Mus musculus: one gene and its partner. The protein of the gene in region 1 purifies or fractionates together with the protein of each later gene. This does not show direct contact. Links are inferred from orthologs where the notes say so. Each region holds a gene or a part of one and is shown in the gene's direction. Other genes may lie near its edges.

Region 1 (10,407 bases):
GAACCTAGGACCTTGTCGTGCATGCTAGGCAAACAGATTTCACTGAGCTACGGTGCTGGAGTGCTTCTTCTTCTTCTTTTTTTAAATTTATTTATTTTAATTTTATGTGCACTGGTGTTTTCTGTGTGAAGATGCCAGATCCCCTGGAACTGGAGTTACAGACGGTTGTGAGCTGCTGTTGCTGGGAATTGAACCCAGGTCCTCTGGAAGAGCAGCCAATGTTCTTAACCACTGAGCCATCTCTCCAGCTCACCCACTGGCGCTCTTTTTACATTTTATTTATTTGCATATTTCCTGTGCATGTGGGTATGTATTTGGTACACGTGTAGTCTGTGCCTACACTTGTGTAGCTGTACACACTTCAGAGGAGACACGAGAGCCCTGCTCTGTCATTCTTGGTTGTATTCCATTACCACAGGGTCTCTATTGGAACCTGATCCTAGGCTGGCATCCGGCAAGCACTCCTAGAAGTCTCACTGTTTCTACCCAGCTCTGTTGGGGTTACAATCTTACATGCGGCTTATCTGGCTTTTTGCATGAACACTGGGAATTCAAACGCATACCCTCATCTTTTCGAAACAAGTGCTCTTACCCATTGAGCCATTGTCTCAGTCATTTACCTTTTTTTTTGACAGAAGGTCTGACCTTAAACTTGAGGTATTCCTGCCTCAGCCTTGTCAGTATCTGCTACTAAGCTCAGTGAGTCTGAGGCCAGCAAAGGCTACATGGCAATAAGACCTTGTCTCAAAAAAGGCTGGGGGTTGGAGGCGGGCCTTCAAGATACTAGATTGGCTCCCTGGCTTTTGTTAAAGCTGTTTTCTCAATCGTGCAACAGCTTCACCCTCAGATAAGATGCCTCTTTGGAGACCACTCCTAAACTTGTATTTGTATAGTGGTTTGGGGCAACAAAACTCCACTAGGCAGATGACTTTTGCTACTTGAGTTGTGATCCTAGCCTTGAACATTGGAGCTCTTTCTCCAACCCTAAGAAGATGACTTTTAAAGGAAGCAAGAGTGAGCCTAGGTGGTCTGTTTCCTGAGGATGTGTTGTGAAATGGACTCTGTTTCTGCCTGGGGAGAGAATGGTTGCTGGGTGTCTGGCCATCATACTTAGGATGGGGACATTGTCAGAAACCAGGCCCCGGGCAAGCCTGGAGCCCTGTCTCCAGGAGGAGCGCTGTGCTCAGCACCCAGTTAGAGCCTCATAGGGTGTGCAGGCTTTATCTTGACCAGACCTACTGGTTCCTCAGGAAGCCTCACTCCGGCAGAGAGGACAGCCGAGTTACTCGAGTGGAGGCACTGAGTGGCCAAGGACTCCAGCCTAGGGCCTGGGCTCCTAGTGAGGACGTTAGACCGCTTTCTATTTTACTTTGCTATATTATTTCATTTGAGCTACACACAGTAAGTTTTAGTCTTATTGGAAGATTGACGTGTAGTTTTGAGGCACTAGTCTGCTGACGTTTGAAAGAACTGGCTCTACTTTGTTTGTTTGTTTGTTTGGTTGGTTGGTGGTTGGTTTAAAACATGGTCTCTCTATAGCCTTGGCTTGCCTAGAACTTGCTATATATGCTAGGCCGGACTTAAAATTATGGTGATCCTCCTGCTGGGATTACCAGTCTGTGCCACCACCCCATGCTTAACTTGCTTCTTTTTAAAATTAGAGACTATGTCACATCCAGAGCTGTGTATCATGCGCCAGCTCCCATCAGCCAGTATTTCATTCTTTCCTTCATCCTTTTGCTCTTGTCCCTTATAGAGAACTCGGGACTCTCCTTAAAGACTTTAGTTTTTATCCAAGTGGCTGTATGGGTCTCTATAAAGGCTTGGGTTCTCGTGATGTCATGCATGCTTTTTAGAATAATGATACCAAAAAGGACATGGCGACCTAAGTTCTGCACCCCATTTTACGCAGTGCACGCTGGGCGGCTTTGAGGAGCTGCAGAGCATGAAGGCTGAGAAGCGCACTCTCCTGGGCCTTCCCCCTCTGCCTGAGGACAGCATCAAGGTCATCCGGAACATGAGGGCTGCCTCCCCACCAGCCTCTGCCTCAGACCTGATTGAGCAGCAGCAGAAGCGGGGCCGACGGGAGCACAAGGTGAGGCATCTCAGAGTACACACTCAGGGAGTGGGGTCGGGGCACATGATTCCTGGGCCAGCAGGTTATGAGAAGCCAGCTCCGATCAAGCTGATCAGGAGGCGTGCCTCCACAGCAGGGACACTGTCCCCAGCCTCAGCCCCAGTGTATAGCGGATACTTAACATCAGGGCAGCTTCTGAGGTTCTCTTCATTCTAGTCCTAAATCCTCCGTATTCCCTGCTGTTGTCAGGTCCCCATCTGAGATGGGTCTGTTCCATTTGAACTCTGTTCCTCGTCACCATCTCATTGGTTGGCTGCTTTTCTCAGCTCTTCTCTGTGCTTTCAGGCTCTGATAAAGCAGGACAATCTAGATGCCTTCAACGAGCGGGATCCCTATAAGGCTGACGACTCTCGGGAGGAGGAAGAGGAGAATGATGACGACAGCAGCCTGGAGGGGGAGGCTTTTCCCCTGGAGCGAGACGAGGTGATGCCTCCCCCACTACAGCACCCTCAGACTGACAGACTCACCTGCCCAAAAGGGCTCCCTTGGGCTCCCAAAGTTAGGTGAGTCTCAGTTCTAGAATATTCTTGAAGTGAGAGCCTTCATATCCTAGGTCAGTGTTGGCCTGGAGTCCTCTGCAAGGCTAAGATGACCTTAAGTTACCATGTGCTGTCCTGGGCACATCTGTGAGGACGGCCTTGCTGATGTCACACAGGATAGATAACCCTTGTGTGGTTCCTGTGTCAGTAATTTGAACTGGTCCAACTTGATAGTGAACAAAGGCAAGGAGAAAAAAATGAGTATTTAGGCAAACCTATCCCCATTCATCTTGGAGCTGTATGTGGCCTTTTATTTAAAAATGATAGATGGAGAATTTTTTAAAAACCCAATGTATTAAACAGTATGCTTGGGGGAGTTAATAGATGGGAAGGTAGCAGGAACTGTTAAAATGGTATATTGTAGCTGGGCATAGTGGCACACGCCTTTAATCCTAGCACTAGAGAGGCAGAGGCAGAGGCAGGTGGATGATGTCTGTGAGTTCCAGGCCAGTTGGTCTACAAAGCAAGTCCAGGACAACCAGGGCTACACAGAGAAACCTTGTTTTGAAAATAAAACCATCAAAAAAGAAGTATATTTGGTAGGCAGCAACTTAATAAAGAGATGTGTATATGAACTGATATAAAAGAGGGTATGTCCTGAGCTTTCTATGTTGTGTGAGAAGAATGTTTCTGTTGAGACAAGAAAATGACCTGTTTAAAGTTAGTAGCTTATGTCTCTTACACTTCATGGTGTTTAAATACTACTATTGTTTAAATAAGTGTTAAATACTACTATTGTTTAAATAAGTTGTGCTTTAAGTTTTATATATGTCCCTAATTTTGAGTCAACTGGCCATATGTATTATAGAAATATAAACATACTTTAATTGTATGAACCTAACAAAATTATGTAAAAAAACAAAGTAGTCAAAATTCAGGTTTTCCCACTTACTGTAAGAGACCTTTTCCTGTCTTGTAAACACCTGGAGATGCTTTGTCTGTTTGAACACAGGCCTGTGACTGGCACACCTTGAAGCAGTACTTGATAAAATCTGCCCCTCTTTCTTGCTTGGTAGAGAGAAAGACATTGAGATGTTCCTTGAATCCAGCCGCAGCAAGTTCATAGGCTACACTCTAGGAAGGTGAGTGTGACCTGAGGCCTCTTTGAAGTGCCCTTGCCTGGCCTTGGGGCAGCGGACCGGTGAGTGGCTCTCTGGGCTCAGCATAAGGCCTTCTTTATTCTCCAGTGACACCAACACAGTGGTGGGGCTGCCAAGGCCAATCCACGAAAGCATCAAGACATTGAAACAAGTAAGTGGCACTAAGGGAACGTTTGGCTTTGTTTGGTCCCAGGAGAATAAAGTGAGCCTGGGCCAAGGGAGAAGCCTTTCAGGGCTATTGTCTGCCAGCAAGAGCCTGGGAAGCATCTCTTCCTACGTCTGACTTCGGTTACAGATATGTGTGTCCCAGGCTTTAGAGTTCAGGGAGCCCACGAGGTATAAGGCAATTGAGAGGCACTGGCGGATGGATATGGTGCTGTCAGCTTTGCTGGTTATAGCATGGCTGGAGAGCAAGGCTTAAGAGCACCATAGTGGGTGTGCTCTAGCATACTCTATAAACCAAGCAAGCTCAGTTTCCCAGGCCCAGAGAGCTGGAGTGGAGGGCAGACAGGACCCAGGCTCTCAGCAGGCAGGCAGGTGGAGTCCCAGACCATCCTGTTTTCCTCTTGTGCTCACTGCTGAGAGGGAGCTGAGGGAGCTGTGGGTGTGAGGATTAGCGGAGAGACGACCCCAGGGGTCAGGAGGCTTTCCAGTGTGTCTAAACTGTAACATTTTAAAGTCCAGTTTTGAAATTGGTAGTACCAGGTGGTCTCTGCACTAGGCTTTTAAGAATACAGTTAGTTTTGCCTCTGATATCTTTCTCCTGTCATTTTTTAAAAAAGATTTTATTTATTATTATATGTAAGTATACTGTAGCTGTCTTTAGACACACCAGAGGAGAGCATCAGATCTTATTATGGATGGTTGTGAGCCACCATGTGGTTGCTGGGATTTGAACTCAGGACCTCTGGAAGAGCAGTCAGTGCTCTTAACCACTGAGCCATCTCTCCAGGCCCCCTCCTGTCGTTTTTGCTTCTGAAAGCCCTTTCCACTTTATTTTGCTTTTTTGCTAACCTCTATGGGCGCTTTTCACACAGGCTTTTTTGTCAGAAGTAGATTGCAGGTTTAAGTTAGGAATCTTTGTTGTGACTTAGCCCTCTCTCAGAAGGCCAAAATAAACTCTTGGGTCTTTGCCAGGTGAGGGGGGAGTCTGGCCAGAGAAGAGGGGTGTCTTTCCTCAGCACCTTCTTTCCTGCCTCTCTCTCCAGCACAAGTATACATCAATCGCAGAGGTCCAGGCACAGATGGAGGAGGAATACCTTCGCTCTCCTCTCTCAGGGGTGAGTTAAGAGACCACAAAGTCCCCAACTGCTCTCAGTCTCTGAGCCGGGCCTGGCCACAAGGCTGCTCCAGGAGTCGGCCTCTCCTTGAATAGATTGCCATCCATGTCTTCCTTTCAGTCTGTGAATGGCACCTTGAACATAAAACTCAATCTCTCTGTGCTTTGTTTCCTACCTGTAAAAGAAGACCAGCGCTAGACTAAGGCCGTCTCTCTCTCTTATCTACTTATTAATTTGAGATATCATCTATCTGTAGCCCAGATGGCCTCAAACACCTTTCCCAACCTTACCGGTGCTGGGTTACAAGTGTTTGCTAGCATGCATGACTGTGGTACCTCATGAAGAATTAGTTAAATGATTCCGGGTGACATTCTTGGGATGTCATATGTTTCAGAGCCTCCTGTCAGTATCACCAACATCACCCTTCACTTTGATACTTAGAGATTCTATTCCAGCCAGCTAGTAAACTGCCTCAGGGGACTGTAGCCTGAGCATGGGTTGTGTGACTTTTGTGTTAAAGGGAGAAGAGGAAGTTGAACAAGTTCCTGCAGAAACCCTCTATCAAGGCTTGCTCCCCAGCCTGCCTCAGTATATGGTGAGTTCTCTGTGTCTGAGACCGCGAAGGAGCACGGGCTGCTCTCCTTCCTTCAGCCTGCAAGGCTCCTGCCACCTGAGGACCCTCAGGAGTCCCACTTCTCAGGGCATCGTTGTGGTCCTAGGTTCTGATGCTCACCTGAGTGGTCTATTTTTCCCAGATTGCCCTTCTGAAGATCCTACTGGCAGCAGCTCCCACATCGAAAGCCAAAACAGACTCCATCAACATCCTGGCAGATGTTCTGCCCGAGGAGATGCCGTGAGTGTCAGGGCCATGAGTGGAACAGGTTGAAGCAAGGGTGGAAGGGTGGGGCCAGGAGTTTTCAGGTGAGTTGCCTTCCTTGACCCAGCTTTGCTGCAGGTGAAGTTTAGGGTATTTCTGATTCAGACAAAGGAATCAATTGGATAAGTTTCACTAGTAAGGGAGATGGCTAGGCCTGATGCCAACACAGATTGTCACTGAGTGAATTTCTAAGTGAATTAGGTATGCTGGTTTTTCTTTGTAAATAGATGGGCAGTAGACTCTCTCAGAGCCCTTATTCTAGAGCTGTGTGGTTGGCACACCTTGCATAGGATGGTTAGCTCCTGGTCAGTTTGCTTGCCACCACCGAGCCTGTGCCTTTGTGGAGTTTCTCCCACTGGCCAGTCAACTGGCAGGTAGACCCCTGGCAAATGTCTCAGAGGAGAAAGTGAAACTCTTAGCTGTTGTTCTTCCTCTCTGGCTGAAAGGTCTTTTCGTGGAAGAGAACAGCCTGAGGTCATATTCTGCATTGAGGACAGACTCAGGCCCACACCTGATCTGTTGCTTGCCAGGGCTGCCTTGTTCTGAGCTGATCTCCAGGTCTGGTGGTCATAGTGGTGGTATCCAAGTGAGGGAGAGGCAGGGATTGGCTCATACCAGAGGGAGGTTCACAGAACATTAGGCCATCTTGATAATCCCAGAAATACTGTGTTTCTTCTGAAGATTTGCAGTGAGAAGTCCTGAATTAAGAAACAGGTATAATTCAGTGCTTCCTAAATCTAACTTCAGCACCCCCACCCCGCCACTGTAGAGTGGAATTTCCCCACATACTGGTGTTCCACAGAATATACTTTGGGGAACTCAGGTTAATAGAGTGGCCAAAGCTTAGGGAGAGTTTGGAAAAGAAAAGAAGTTCAGTTTTGGAGGAGAAGCAGAGAAAGGGACTGAGTGTGTATTGGCGAGATGAAAGAAGCTGTTCCCGCTGGATCACTTGGGAGATAGAACCCTAAGGCTGGCCTCCGAGGTGTCTGTGGATCGTAGGCCTTTGCCAGAGGGTTCTGAAGCCCATCTCCTCTGTGGACACCTGGGAAGGAGGTACTGTGTGCTGGTAACTCACCCAGGCGCTTGTGTTCCTAGCACCACAGTACTGCAGAGCATGAAGTTGGGGGTGGATGTGAACCGCCACAAAGAGGTCATCGTTAAGGCCATTTCTGCCGTGCTGCTGCTGCTGCTCAAGCACTTTAAGTTGAACCACATCTACCAGGTACCTGCAGGATCTGCCTTCCTTCCTGTGCGCTGGGCGGGGCCTCTGGCAGTGCAGCTCCCCTAGCCCAGAGAGTAGGGCTTCACTTCCGAGCCCACTTGACCTCTGCACAGCATTCTAACACGAGGGCCTCCAGCCAAGGCTTTTTATCTCTAGACAAAAGAGAACCAGGGCTGTGCTTATTTTTCTTCTGTTGGTTTCAGTTTGAATACATGGCCCAGCACCTGGTATTTGCCAACTGCATCCCTTTGATCCTGAAGTTCTTCAATCAAAACATCATGTCCTACATCACTGCCAAGAACAGGTGATAAGGACCAGAGACCAAGAAAGGGTGGTGTAGACAGGTGGCAAGACTTCCAGCTGCCTCTCCACTGAGACTATTGAACAGACTTTTTCTTTAAACATCTATCTACCAGGCCTCAAAAAAGACATAATGAATGACAGAGTGTCAGTTATGGGATTAGCTACGCTAGTGACCAGGAGGCTCTCACCCTAGGCTCTGTAATTGCCACTTCTATCCTTCCTCCCTTTCTGCTTCCAGGTCTCTGTACAGAGCTTGGCTTTGTGTACTGTAAAGCCTTCTCTGATGATTCTCGTGGACTCTTCACAGCCTCCTTGTACCCACTGTACCCGGTAGCACCTGCTTGTCAGTGTGAGACATCACAAGGGAATCCAGTTAGCTGTGGCCTCTAAGAGGGCTTGGCATAAATCATTTGTCTCTAGTCCTACCTCCCAGATTCATGTGAAGGGAAAAGCTGCAATAGTGTCTCCACCCCTCACAGTTAGTAATTACATTACAAGCTTTTTGAGTCACAGAGCAACTGTACATACCATCTTATAGCAGGTATTTCTTCATCTTATAGTCAGGGAAACCAGGTTAGAGCAAGCGAGGTACATTGCTCCTTCTTCTTCAGCTCATCACGTCTGCTCTGGCAGACCCAGCCTTTGCTCACAGTGAGCACCTGGTCTTTTTGCATTCTGTAGCATTTCCGTCTTGGATTACCCTCACTGCGTGGTGAACGAACTTCCAGAGCTAACTGCAGAGAGTCTGGTGAGTGGCCCAGATCTCCCTGCCTACCCCTTTGGTATGAGCATTCCCTCCCCCAACACAAAGAGGTGTCTTCCAGAAGAGGTCACCTTTGGCTTTTAAAGTACCAGAAATGGCCATAGAGTCAGGGAGAGGACGCTGCGGAGCAGAACGATTGGGGATTGGCTGTGTGGTTAGTCAGGGCTGCTCACCTAGGATTTGCCCACTCAAGCTGCCTACATCTTCCCACTGAAGTCCGGGGCATTCTGTGACAGAATCATTGAAATCAGTCAAGGCCTTTGGACACTGCTGCTGAGCAGCCTGCAGTCGTGATAGTTGTGTTTGTCTCTGGCTTTTCCCTGCAGGAAGCTGGTGACAACAACCAGTTTTGCTGGAGGAATCTCTTTTCTTGCATCAATCTGCTTCGGATCTTGAACAAGCTAACCAAGTGGAAACACTCGAGAACCATGGTGAGTTGGTGCTGCAGCCAGCCTGGGCCATGCCGTGCCCGCCTCACCTGGGACGTGGTCCTCAGGGTGGGGCTTCCCAGGCAGCATCGTCCTCGTTCAGGTCTGCAGACTTCTGGTTCTCTGATGAGTACAACCAGAAGCTGGAAGAGACTCTCAGGCATGCCCTGAAACAAACCCTCAACCACAGACACTTTCTGATCTTTCTGATCCTGGGTGGGAAGTGATGGGCAGGAGTCAGGAGCCACCTTAGCCCTGCAATGCTTTGGAACAAGGAAGGTCCATGAGTTCTCAGAGATTAGATTACAGAGTGAGCCATAATTAGGGTTGCAACCTTAGTGGTTTGCTATAGCTCTGCTTGTCTTAGTGCCTAACACTTCAGGTGCCAGTGAACCAGTGAGTTCAAGAGAAACTGCATGGCTTGTGGTCCTGTCTGCTACCCCAGAAGTGCTAAGTGACCATGTAGTGGCACTCACACTTACTGCTTTCTCACCATGGCCGCCACCATGGCCGCCCAGATGCTGGTGGTGTTCAAGTCGGCACCCATCCTGAAGCGGGCCCTTAAGGTGAAGCAGGCCATGATGCAGCTCTACGTGCTGAAGTTGCTCAAGGTGCAGACCAAGTATTTGGGGCGACAGTGGCGCAAGAGCAACATGAAGACGATGTCTGCCATCTACCAGAAGGTGCGGCACCGGCTGAACGATGACTGGGCGTACGGCAATGGTGAGGCCACATATGACGCCGCAAGAGTGGGAGAGGGTAGGACAAGGGATGACTTGACTCCTTGCCTGTGGTACCTTAGTTTTCTCTGCCCTTAGGCACTGAGCAGGGCCGGGATCTAGTTTTAGTGGCTCTGGGCAAGACTTTGGGAAGCTACTCAGTATCTGTGTTCATCTGTTTCTCTGTCCCTCCACTCTAAATCCTGTCTTTTCCAGAAATTGCCATAAGATTCCATCCCCTCTTTATCCCTACTGCAGCTACCTAAATCTATAGATCCTCACCGGCTCTGCCTCTAGTTTCTCCCCACTGTTGGCCTCAGATTTGGCTCCTGTAATCTTTTCAACACACCCATCCTATGCTGTTGCCCCTGAGTAAGATTCCTGTTAGCTTTCTAGTTCCCATAGGAATGAAGTTAAACATTAAGACAGGAGGGGCAATCATTCACTTGCCTGATCCCAGAGTTTGCAGCTTTCTTTTCAAGCCCGTTGTGTGCTGGTACCCAGCTTCTGTCACACCCAAGACTCCAGGACAGAGTATGAAACCTCAGTACCAGCTGAGGATTGCTCTCAGGAGCTCTGCAGATCCCAGCAGCCACAGATGCCCATGCTCTCCAGTGTGCCCTCTGTGCCTGAGAATAGACTGTACAGGTACAGAGGGAAACTACACTTGGTCCCTGAGCGCTAGCCATGTTGCCTCCTGTTCCTGGGCCTCTGTAGACTGTTGGATATCTACATCCTCCCAGTCTAACTGTTGTTTACCTGGTGTTGCTGTGTTACACTGTCGCAGTCACATCACTCTGTGACTATGCCTGGCATCTGGGCTCAAGGTGGTGCATGACATTTTGTCATGGAGGTGAGAGGAGGAGCAGATGATGGAGTCTCGGAGTTATCTCTGTCATCTAGAACCAAGGGGAGACTGTGCTTTAAAAACGAGTTTTCCAGGACTCTCCTGTCTGTCGACATGTTTTGGGGGAACAAGTCTCTTTCTCAGAGTTAAGGATTTTCTCCTTATATTTGACTATCCTCTCCTGAGGATGGG
Region 2 (10,507 bases), on another chromosome or scaffold:
GAAACAAAACAGCCAGCCTACACACACCATTGTGACAGGTTATCATTTATTAAATGTTATTACTGGAAGACACCTCAGAAATCAAGTAGAGAAAACAAATGGTACACAGGGTCCTGGAAGGAAGTGACAGGCTTAGGTCCTTCATAGTGTTCAGTATATTGGGACCTAGGAAACCAGATGTAAATATCGTGTGTGCAGTGTGTGGGGACAAGCACGTGGGGCTGGAAGCAGCTGTCGTAACTCGGTTGATCTGCACATTGCTTTTTATGTTTTTTTTGAGTCAGGGTTTCTCTGTGTAGCCCTGGCTGTCCTGGAACTCACTCTGTAGACCAGGCTGGCCTCGAACTAGAAATCTGCCTGCCTCTGCCTCCTGAGTGCTGGGATTAAAGGCGTGCGCCACCACTCTCGGCTGCACATTGCTTTTTGAGACAGGGTTTCTCACTGAACCTGGAGCTTACGATTCAGGTAGCAGGCCTGGTCAGAGACGGCCTTGTGTCTCCACTGAGCTTCCATGCAGTGCTGTCAAGCCTGGCTTTTTACATCGGTGCTGGGGCTCAGTTGCCTATATGGCAAGATCTTGACTGGCTGGGCCATCTAGCATCAGATCTGCTTTGTTGTGGCAGTGGTGGTTTGGGGGATTTTTATATATATTTGTTTATGGGGGAGGGAGGGAGGTTGGCCTACATCAGAGTGAAGTTGTCAGGCTTCACAGCATCTGCTGAGCCTTTAAGAAACATGGAGCTTGGGGGGGTGGAAAACCTCAAAATCCTCATCGATGGACATGATGTACCTGCCTGTAATCCCAGCACTCAGGATTATAGAGCTTCTGTCTCCAAAATCAAAATATAAAATAAAACTGAAGCCTTATGCTTAATGTGTAAGTTCAATAGTCAACCAAATATAGCAAGCACAAAAAGATAAAACCAATTGGGGCGGGGGGGGGGTGTGTCTATATCTGTGATTTAAACTTCAGTGCTAATTTTTTTTAGAAAATCCATTAACTGTCTCCTTTATTTAGGGACCCATTACAAACTTGAGCAGAGCCAGGAGAAAAGGCTGATATGGTCATACAGATCTATTCAGGAGAAAAGACTGCTAGGGTCATATAGATCCATTCAGGAGCTTTGGGCAGAATTGTTGATTCCTAAGCTAGCCTGGGCTGTATACACCATTGACCCTGTCAGTGAACAAATATGAAACTGTTCACTAAAATATTCATTATTCTCTTTGATTCATAGTATAGTCCTTGAATAATCAGAGGATAGTCCTAAGAAAAAAATTTTAAATGCTTATATTATCCCACTTTCTGCCAGAAGTCCTGTAGATACACTCTATAGTAAAGGGAACTAAAGACAACTGGGAGGTGGCCGGGGGCGACCAACATTTTTTTCCTAATTTGTAAACACATAAAGTAGCTGTTTTGCAAGCATGAAGGCTGGTGTTTATATACCTAGCAGCCATGGAGGGCACAGCGCCCACCTGTGACCCCTCTCTCGATGATGGGATGATATGGTTAGCTGTCTAACCACAGCAGCAGGCTCTGGTGAGTCAGGTGGAGTGATCCGAGGCAAACAGTACCAACCTTAGGCCTGCACATACATGTGCACCCACTAACATGTAGACCTGCAAATTACATGCACTTAGCAGGTGTGCAGGAGAGGTGACTCGGTAAGTAAAGTGTAAGGAGAGAGAGAACCCCAAAAGCTGCCCCAATCTCTGTTAGGTGGGCTCTACACATCATACAGTGAGAAATAAGTGTGTAAAGGAATTACAGGTGATACACTATATAGGGAAAGTATATGTAATAGTGGTTATGTGCTCAGTAAATCTATATTGTAATCTATAATGGGAATCAGAAGGATGTTAATGTTGGGAAAGAAACCAGGTGTGTGACCGCAAACACAGTGACGGGTGGTGAGCGAGCGCCCTGTGCAGCAGACGCACTGTGCAGACACCACAGTGCGGCTCAGACTAGAGCGTGTGGAAGGCCCTCCCATCCCCAGGACCGCAGCCGGGGAAGAGAAGAACCCTGAGCACGGGAACTGCTGTGGAGGTTATTGCTGGTGATTGGACTCTGCTTTGCATTGTAGTTCACAGATCTTTCAGCTAATGATACCATTTGGAAAAAGAAAAAGCTGTCATGACTAACCTTTGCAACCGCTACTTAACTGTTCATTAATTTAGCAATTATAAAAACAAAACCATTTTCTTCTCAATTGAAAAACAGATATTCTGCCTCCACGGTGGCCTGTCTCCATCCATAGATACACTGGACCACATAAGAGCCCTGGATCGCTTGCAAGAAGTTCCACATGAGGTGATTTTCGAAGTTACTTCATTTATTTTGATTTTAAGGGAGAAAAAAGTGTAATCACATATGGGAAGGGTAACTCAATTAAGTATCCTAACTCACAGTGCACACATATTCTTTCTCCTTATCCAGGGCCCAATGTGTGATCTCTTATGGTCAGATCCGGATGACCGTGGCGGCTGGGGCATTTCTCCACGTGGTGCTGGCTACACATTTGGACAAGACATTTCTGAAACATTTAACCATGCCAACGGTCTCACACTGGTGTCTCGTGCTCACCAGCTTGTAATGGAAGTATGTACTTTTCCTGCTCTCGTGGTGTACGCATGCACCCGTCATAAGGCTTCATAATACCTTCAGTAGGGGCTGGAGAGATGGCTCAGCAGTTAAGAGCACATTGCTCTTCCAGAAGGCGCTCAGTAGAGACTTGAGCTCAGTGAGATGATGACTCCATGCTGCTTAGAGGAGCACACTGAGGAGTGTGCTTGCTGTGTGTGTCCTTGCTACATTTCACCAAGGAGGTTTGAAAGCTGTTTGTCCACTGCTGGTTCTATTCCGTGACCACTCAGTTGAGGTAGCAATTGCTGGATTTCTCCTGTTGTGTTAGTGTTGTCACTACGAAAGGAATAAACGAGAACGGAGTCCCTCTAACCAGCAAGTAGTGGCTTTAAGAAGGTAGAACAAACTTCACCAGCCTAGAGCAGGCGAGGAGTGGGGTAGGGGCAGGATGCAAAGCACATACACGAAGTGACATTAAACTTCATTATACTGGCAAGCACAGATGTCAGTGATGATAATATTTTTGGAGAAAAAATTTGACTAAGCTTTAACATTCCTAAAAGTCCTGAGACTCCAAAATTAGAAAATAATCAAATTTCAGCTATTTGAGGCAAAACTGAAACATTTAACATAACAAAGATGAGAATGGTGTGCTATGTGTCAAGTAAACACCACCCAACATCACGAGTGATGGAAGGCAGAGGCTCTGACACAGGTGACAATGTGATTGTCAAGATGGCTGGTTAGCATGGGCTCAGCTCTCTGGGAGAGCATATTCTAAGTTGGTATTTGCCTAATACGAGTTTCAAGCAAACTTAGTAGCAAACTTTAGAAGCCAGGCTCATTTCTATCATGTCTCAGCACTTGGGAGGCTGGGGCAATTGCAAGTTTGAGAACAGGGTAGTCTAAATAGCAAAATTCTTTCTCAAAATAAAATAAAATACTTAGCAAAGTTTATGAAGGAAAATGGGGAAGTTACTATGGTTTTCTGAGAAATTCAGTGTATATTCTAAGTTAAAATCTTAAGTGTAGGTTAAGAAAAGCTGTATGGTTACTGAGGTATATAATAGAATCTTGTACCTAATAAATGTTTAAAAGTCTGAACAGTTGCATAAACTTAGATTATAAAAGGTAACATAGCCACCGAAGTATTTGTGACTTGATCTGTCAAAATTGGATTTTATAATGAAACAATGACCTTTTTAATGTTGCAGGGATATAACTGGTGCCATGATCGGAATGTGGTCACCATTTTTAGTGCGCCCAATTACTGCTACCGTTGTGGGAACCAGGCTGCTATCATGGAATTAGATGACACTTTAAAATATTCATTGTAAGTAACTTTACATTTTAATTGTATGTAATGACTTTTAGAGGAAAATAGCCTTGGGAGCTGGAGAGGTGGCTCAGCAGCTCAGAGCACTTAACTACAGTCTAGTATGACTTCCATAGATACCTGCACACATGTGTGCATACACTCATACACACATGCATGTATGAAAAGAGACAGGAAGCCGGGCGTGATGGCACATGCCTTTAATCCCAGCACTCAGGAGGCAGAGGCAAGAGGATTTCTGATTTCGAGGCCAGCCTGGTCTACAGAGTGAGTTCCAGGACAGCCAGGGCTATACAGAGAAACCCTGTCTCAAAAAACCAAAAAAAAAAAAAAAAAAAAAAGAGCTCTGCTTATGACAGGGGAGGAGGAGGAGTGTGCGTGCAGACCCTCTTCCCCAACATTGAACTCAAGAACTTTCTGATGTGCAGCACTCGTAAACCATGGCCTCCTGCATTGCTAGGCCACTGCTGCAGAAAGTGGGGTTTTTTTTGTTTTGTTTTTTTTCAAGACAAAGTTTCTCTTTGTAGCTCTGGCTGTCCTGGAACTCACTCTGTAGACCAGGCTGGCTCCAAATTCACAGAGATCCACCCGCCTCTGCCTACAGTTTATTGAAACTTTCCCAAGAGCTTACAGCTAATAGAAAAACATTTAAGAGAACCATAAGCCGGGTGTGGTGGTACAAGTTCTTAATCCTAGCACTCTGGAGGCAGAAGCAGAGATGGGTTTGAGCCAGTCTGGTGTATGCTCTACATGAATTTCAGGACAGCAAGGACTACAGACATACCCTATCTTAGAAAGACAAACAAGACTCAGACAAAAAGAGGAACTGTAACCGCCCGGGGGCCTAGGAAGTGCCTTGGTGGCCAGCACGGCTGACCTTCCACGGATACCATCTTCATTCCCAGCGCTTACACTGCAGCTCACAACCACCTCTAGTTTCAGTTCCAGGGATCTGACATACATGTAACTAAAAGTCACTTATTTGGGGCTGGAGAGATGGCTCAGAGGTTAAGAGCACTGACTGCTCTTCCAGAGGTCCTAAATTCAATTCCCAGCACATGGTGGCTCACAACCATCTGTAATGGGAATCTGATGCCACCTTCTGGGGTGTCTGAAGACAGCTACAGTGTACTCGTATACATAAACAAACCTTTTTAAAAATTGACTTATTTTAGGTTTAATAAAGCCTTTACTACTGGGCGTTACGGCCTTCTTGGTACTCTGTTTATCCTAGCATACACGAAATCCTGGGTTCAAGCCCATCATTGTAAACTGGCCATGGTGATGCACGTATGTAATCCCAGGACTTGGGAAATGGAAGCAGGTTGGTTTGAGTCAAGGCCAGCCTGGAATACATGAAACCTGGTTTCAGAAACATTTGTCAAATAAAACACTTGCTATGTATGCATGGTGCTACTTGCATGCCTGTAATCCCAGTACTGACAAGGTAGAGCCAGGGAGATCAGGATTTCACAGCCTGTGCTGCGAGTTTGGGGCCACTGTAGGCTATATGAAACCACATCTCAACTACAGCGGCAAAAAATTGGGAATACATCCTGACTCCTGTGAGTGTTTGCGTATTACTATGGTTAGTTGCATCCTTTCAGGACTGTTGGAGAAGGAAAACACAAATAGCATTTATTTATCCCAAGACCACAGTGTTGATAAAAAAAAATAGGAAAAAGTCAGTGTACTAACATTAATATTAAAACACACACACAACAGACAAATAGCTATTTTGACAGAAAAGGCACTTGGTAAAATTCAGTGTTCTCTTCTGCTGGGCACAAACAGACGTGTACATTTTCACCATAGCTGTGAAGTGCTAACTGTGTGGTTGCTAGTGACGAATGAGTTCAGGGTCATCCCAGCCACGTGGGATGCAGCGTTGCTGAAAGCTACAGGAAGGAGGCTCAGTCTGTTCCGTCTTACTGGCTGGCTTACTTGCTGACCATTTTCTTTGTCATTTTTAGTCTTCAGTTTGACCCAGCACCTCGTCGTGGAGAGCCTCATGTGACCCGGCGCACCCCAGACTACTTCCTGTAAATTCCTCCCCAGGACCTGTCTTTGTATGTGGAAGTATACCTGGCTTTTTAAAATATATATATATACATATATATTTAAAAACAACAGTTATTTGTGTTTCTGTAACAAATTGTGATATGTCTTGACATTAAAACACATCATGGACCAAAACGTGCCATACTAATGATGAGCGGTTAGCACAATGTGAACTCTAGCACACTGTTGTAGATGAGTCAGCCCACAGCCTGCCTGCTGGGCGGTAGTGACCATTTTTCTTGACTGGTTAAGCAAAAAGGGTCACTGACTGCTTCGTCTCCTTTGCGCTTACTTGGAAATTTAGTTAACAAGTTTAACTGGCATGGATTATAGAGTTGGAGTTTTATTTTTTAAGAATTCACAAGCTGACTTCCACTTCAATTCATAATCCTTTATTTTATTGAAATGTATGACTAACTGAAGAAGAGATTCTTGGGAGTATGTTGTCATAACATTAAAGAGATTTCCTTTAAAGTTTCCTAAACTAAATTACTGTTGGATGTTGAGCTGCATATTTCTGTATATTTGTCATGACAGTGCTTGCATCCTATTTGGTGTACTGAACAAATAAAATTTCCGATTTAGAGAAAAACATTTTTTAACTGTGATGTACATTAAATGGAAGCATCGCCATTTTGAAACTTTATACAAATACTTAGAACTGTGGCTGGTTGTTTTTTAGACTTTGAATCTCCTTGATACTCCTGGCTCTCCTTCCGAGGGATAGAATTGCCAGTATGGGGCTCCTTGCTAGGCCACAGATATCTGCTGAGTAATAACAGTAGGCAGCTGTACTGACATATTCGCCTGGTGGGGTGTTCACCCCAGGCCTTATATTCAATTCCAAGTTATGTGCACAGGTACTGCAGAAGTAATGTTTGTTTATAGTTTACACTCAAAAGCAGAACAAAGTCAAAATACTGATAACTGTTAGACCACTGAAAAGGCGATTGTTGCATATCTAAGCATTTCATTAGGTGGTTCATATTAATTTATTCATAATTTTAAGTGCAAAATGTAGATTGCTTTAATAACTATATTCTAAATCTAACAGAAGGGACTTTAAAAGCTGAGCTAGGTTGTCTCCTTTAACCTAAAAACAGGAATTGGCCTGTTTATTTAGTAGCAGTGGTAATGATAGTATTCCAAGGTCATAAACACCAGCTCTAGGGTTTACTTAATATCTAGCTGTAGAATGATTGTTTTGGTTTGATTTGGTTTGGTGGTTTTTTCGAGACAGGGTTTCTCTGTGTAGCCCTGGCCATCCTGAGACTCCCTCTGTATGACCAGGCTGACTTCGAACTCAGAAATCCGCCTGCCTCTGCCTCCCGAGTGCTGGGATTAAAGGCGTGTGCATCCATGCCCAGCGGAAGTTATCTTTCTTAATCTTTAATTTTTAGAGAGGGTTTCATGTAGCCCAGGTAGCCTTGAACCCTCCTGATCCTCCTGCCCCCTTCCCAAGACCTAGGATTACCAGCTGAGCTTCTGCCCCCCAGTTTCGTTTCGGAAAACGAAAAAAAAAAAAAGATACCTTAAGACAGACTTAAGTTTTCAACCTCTGTAATACTGCAACCCTTTAATACATTGCCTCATATTGTGGTGACCCCCCAACCATAAAATTATTTTATTGCTACTTTATAAGCAATTTTGCTGCTGTTATGAATCATCAATGTAAATCTCATGCAGATGGTCTTAGGTGCACCCCTATGAACAGGTTATTTGAGCCCCACAGGACCCCACAGGTTGAGAGATGCTCTAAGGGCATCAATTTGTAGACAAACGACAGTTCACATTCCAAATGCACTTAACAACAATGGCCTTGTTTACTGTGGTTTCACTATGTTCCCCAAGGTTCATGGACCAGACCTCCATCCCCAGATCTAAGTCAAAACTATACAGGATCAGTTGGCTCTGGGAGTTCTTTAAGTTTTTAGAAATACAATAGAATGTCCCTTCATCCTCCTTAGATTCTGACTGAATTGTGAAATACTTTATGGTAAGGTAGACGCAAGCAGGAACCAGTTCTTATATGAGCTAGGGTTTGGTTTGGTTTGAAGATGGTCTAATTAACTCAAAAATTGTGGGAGTTGAGGCGTGTCCCACCATGCCCGGCTGAGGCTTGCATCCAGGTCTGTCTTACTCTTTTTACCTCCTTTCACATTATAATGACAGGCCACAGACCATCAGTGCAAAGCGGTCCTCATCCATGGGGTGTGGGCGGGGTGTGGGCGGGGTACACCTGTGGACGAGAGGAGCTCCAGGTGCATGGGGCTTGAATGAACACCGCCCTGTGGAAGGGCAGCAGGTGCTTCCAGCCTCTCTACTGGCTGCTCTGCTCTTTCTCTTCCACGTTAAGTACAGTGTCCACAGTTATTCCTATGTCCTCCAGTGACGAGCCTCCCTCCACTTCCAGGGCCCTTCTGGGAAAGGAATTGGAAAGTCTATATAGGGATTTGTGGTACCCAACTTTCATCATCCAGTCAAGTAAGACCTAAGAGGCAAAAAAAAAAAGAAGTATCAGACTGTACACTGTTCCTCCAGAATGTATCACTGTAGCACTGTATAGCTCTGTCATCCTGAAATCCAGTCCCTAGGAATTAAAAATCATTTCCATATCTTCCAAAGTAATCCTTTTACACTTTAATGTCTCTATTGCAGAGAATATGTGGGCCTACTGTCATGGTAGTAACAAAACCTAATCCATAAATGAGATGAAAAATACTTAGTAAAAATTTGAGACACCATTAATTCCAACACTTGGGAGGCAGAGGGATCTCTGAATTTGAGGCCAGCCCAGAGAAACCATGTCTTGAAAAAACAGCAACAAAGTTGAAAACAAAATATTTGGGAAAAATTTTGGATCAAAATCACCAAAAGCTTTGTCAAAATACATGTTTTGGCACCTGAGACAAAGTCCACTCACTATGGGCCATTCCTATAATTGTCCAGCACCACAGAAAAGAAAAAAATCACATAGTTATGAGAAACATTTTCCTGCCACATCCAGCTGAAATCATATTTGCCTCAACACATGACATTTTAAACAAAGCATGTTTTGCTTCAAAAACAACAGTAAACTGAGTGTGGTTGCTTCCATTATAGCTGTAGTGCCAAAGCTACGACTGGAGGATTACTGTAACCAAGTTACTGGGTTTGAGACAAACCCATGCAACAGCAAGATCTTGTGTCTCAACAACAAAAGCCTGATAAATGGCAGAGACATAATGTTCCCAGGGACTCTGAAGTATCAGATCATTCAACCAGAGCCTTATATTGCCAGCCACCAGGCAAGAATCCACTGCTGACCTATAGAATAAATCTGTCATCATTTTAACTAAGACAGTTTTGGAAGCGTTGGGAATTGAACCCCAGTTTTCTACACGTGCTGAGCACCCACTCTGCCACTTAGCTCACAGTAAGGTTACAGTTGCTTTGAGTCAGAGTCTGCCTAGCTGGCTCTGAACTCACAATCTTGCCCTGTGTCAGATCCACGACCCCTGCAGTGGAAGCATTATACTCATATTACACTGCGGCCCAATTTAAACTTTTTAAAATAAGAGGCCATGTGTGGCAGCTCATGCCTAGAATCCAGTCATTTGGGAAGCTATCACAGACACCAAGTTCAGGCCAGCCTCGACTACAGGGTAAGTGCTAGCTAGCCTCAGCAAAACCTAGTATCTTACCCACCAACGTAAATGTAGTAAACAACCAAAGAAATACAGCTCAGAGAATGCCTGCCTGAAGACTTAAGATTCTTTCCTAATATAAAAAATGAAGAAAGAAAATTGAAGGGGAAAACACAATGTTAATGTAGAGATCACAACTTAAACCCTCAGTCTGCAATGCAGAACCTTCACATTGTCTGTCTGTGTGGTCTTGTCTCCCACTGCATTTGAACACAATGTTGACAAATTTCATAAGACAATATTTCTGAAAACATTGGTTTCCTCACCTGTGAATTCCACGACTTGAAAAATCTTCTCCTCAGAACACGTCCATTTGGGCATCGAAGGGCAACAGTAACTACCTGTGGATTACAAATGTAAGCTACACTGGGCGTGGTGGCGCACACCTTTAATCCCAGCACTCGGGAGGCAGAGGCAGGCGGATTTCTGAGTTCAAAGCCAGCCAGGGCTATACAGAGAGACCCTGTCTTCGAAAACCCCCTTCCCCCAAAAAACAAACAAACAAAAAAAACAAACGTAAGCTACAGTGGTCACCCAGACCTATGGTCCACACAGGATGCCCAGGTAGGAAGATGCAAATCTGAGGCCAGCCTAAGTGACAAAGCAAGATCTCATCTCAGGAACAAGACAGAAGTCCAGATGGGAACTCTAGCTAGCCTGGGGATAAGGCTCAGCTGGTATAAGAGTGCCTAGCAACACAACGCCCTGGGTTCACTACCCACCACCCCATGCACCACACTGGAGAGAGCATCATGTGTACTATATGGATGCACCACCTGTCAATTTAAAAGCCATAGGGTCTATAGCTTGGGCAGGAAATGGAAATGGAGGGTA

What was found.
Region 2: the proteins of Strip1 (region 1) and Ppp2cb purify together in Homo sapiens (affinity purification with mass spectrometry; 6 studies listed by BioGRID and IntAct, counting the BioPlex papers as one, with this or other methods). This does not show direct contact. The link is inferred for Mus musculus from reciprocal best matches to the Homo sapiens genes STRIP1 and PPP2CB.

What each region holds. Positions count from the first base shown.
Region 1 is NC_000069.6:107,613,560-107,623,966, reverse strand, and holds part of Strip1 (striatin-interacting protein 1), read left to right. Parts: intron 1-1,912; coding exon 1,913-2,095; intron 2,096-2,422; coding exon 2,423-2,640; intron 2,641-3,692; coding exon 3,693-3,758; intron 3,759-3,863; coding exon 3,864-3,927; intron 3,928-4,984; coding exon 4,985-5,056; intron 5,057-5,576; coding exon 5,577-5,651; intron 5,652-5,811; coding exon 5,812-5,909; intron 5,910-7,028; coding exon 7,029-7,155; intron 7,156-7,358; coding exon 7,359-7,459; intron 7,460-8,139; coding exon 8,140-8,206; intron 8,207-8,547; coding exon 8,548-8,652; intron 8,653-9,167; coding exon 9,168-9,372; intron 9,373-10,407. UniProt on the Homo sapiens protein: Plays a role in the regulation of cell morphology and cytoskeletal organization. Required in the cortical actin filament dynamics and cell shape. Part of the striatin-interacting phosphatase and kinase (STRIPAK) complexes.
Region 2 is NC_000074.6:33,613,223-33,623,729, forward strand, and holds the end of Ppp2cb (serine/threonine-protein phosphatase 2A catalytic subunit beta isoform), read left to right. Parts: intron 1-2,227; coding exon 2,228-2,317; intron 2,318-2,443; coding exon 2,444-2,605; intron 2,606-3,804; coding exon 3,805-3,923; intron 3,924-5,899; coding exon 5,900-5,972; 3' UTR 5,973-6,582; downstream 6,583-10,507. Other genes in the region: Ubxn8 (UBX domain-containing protein 8), read right to left, coding at 8,308-8,478, 9,940-10,014.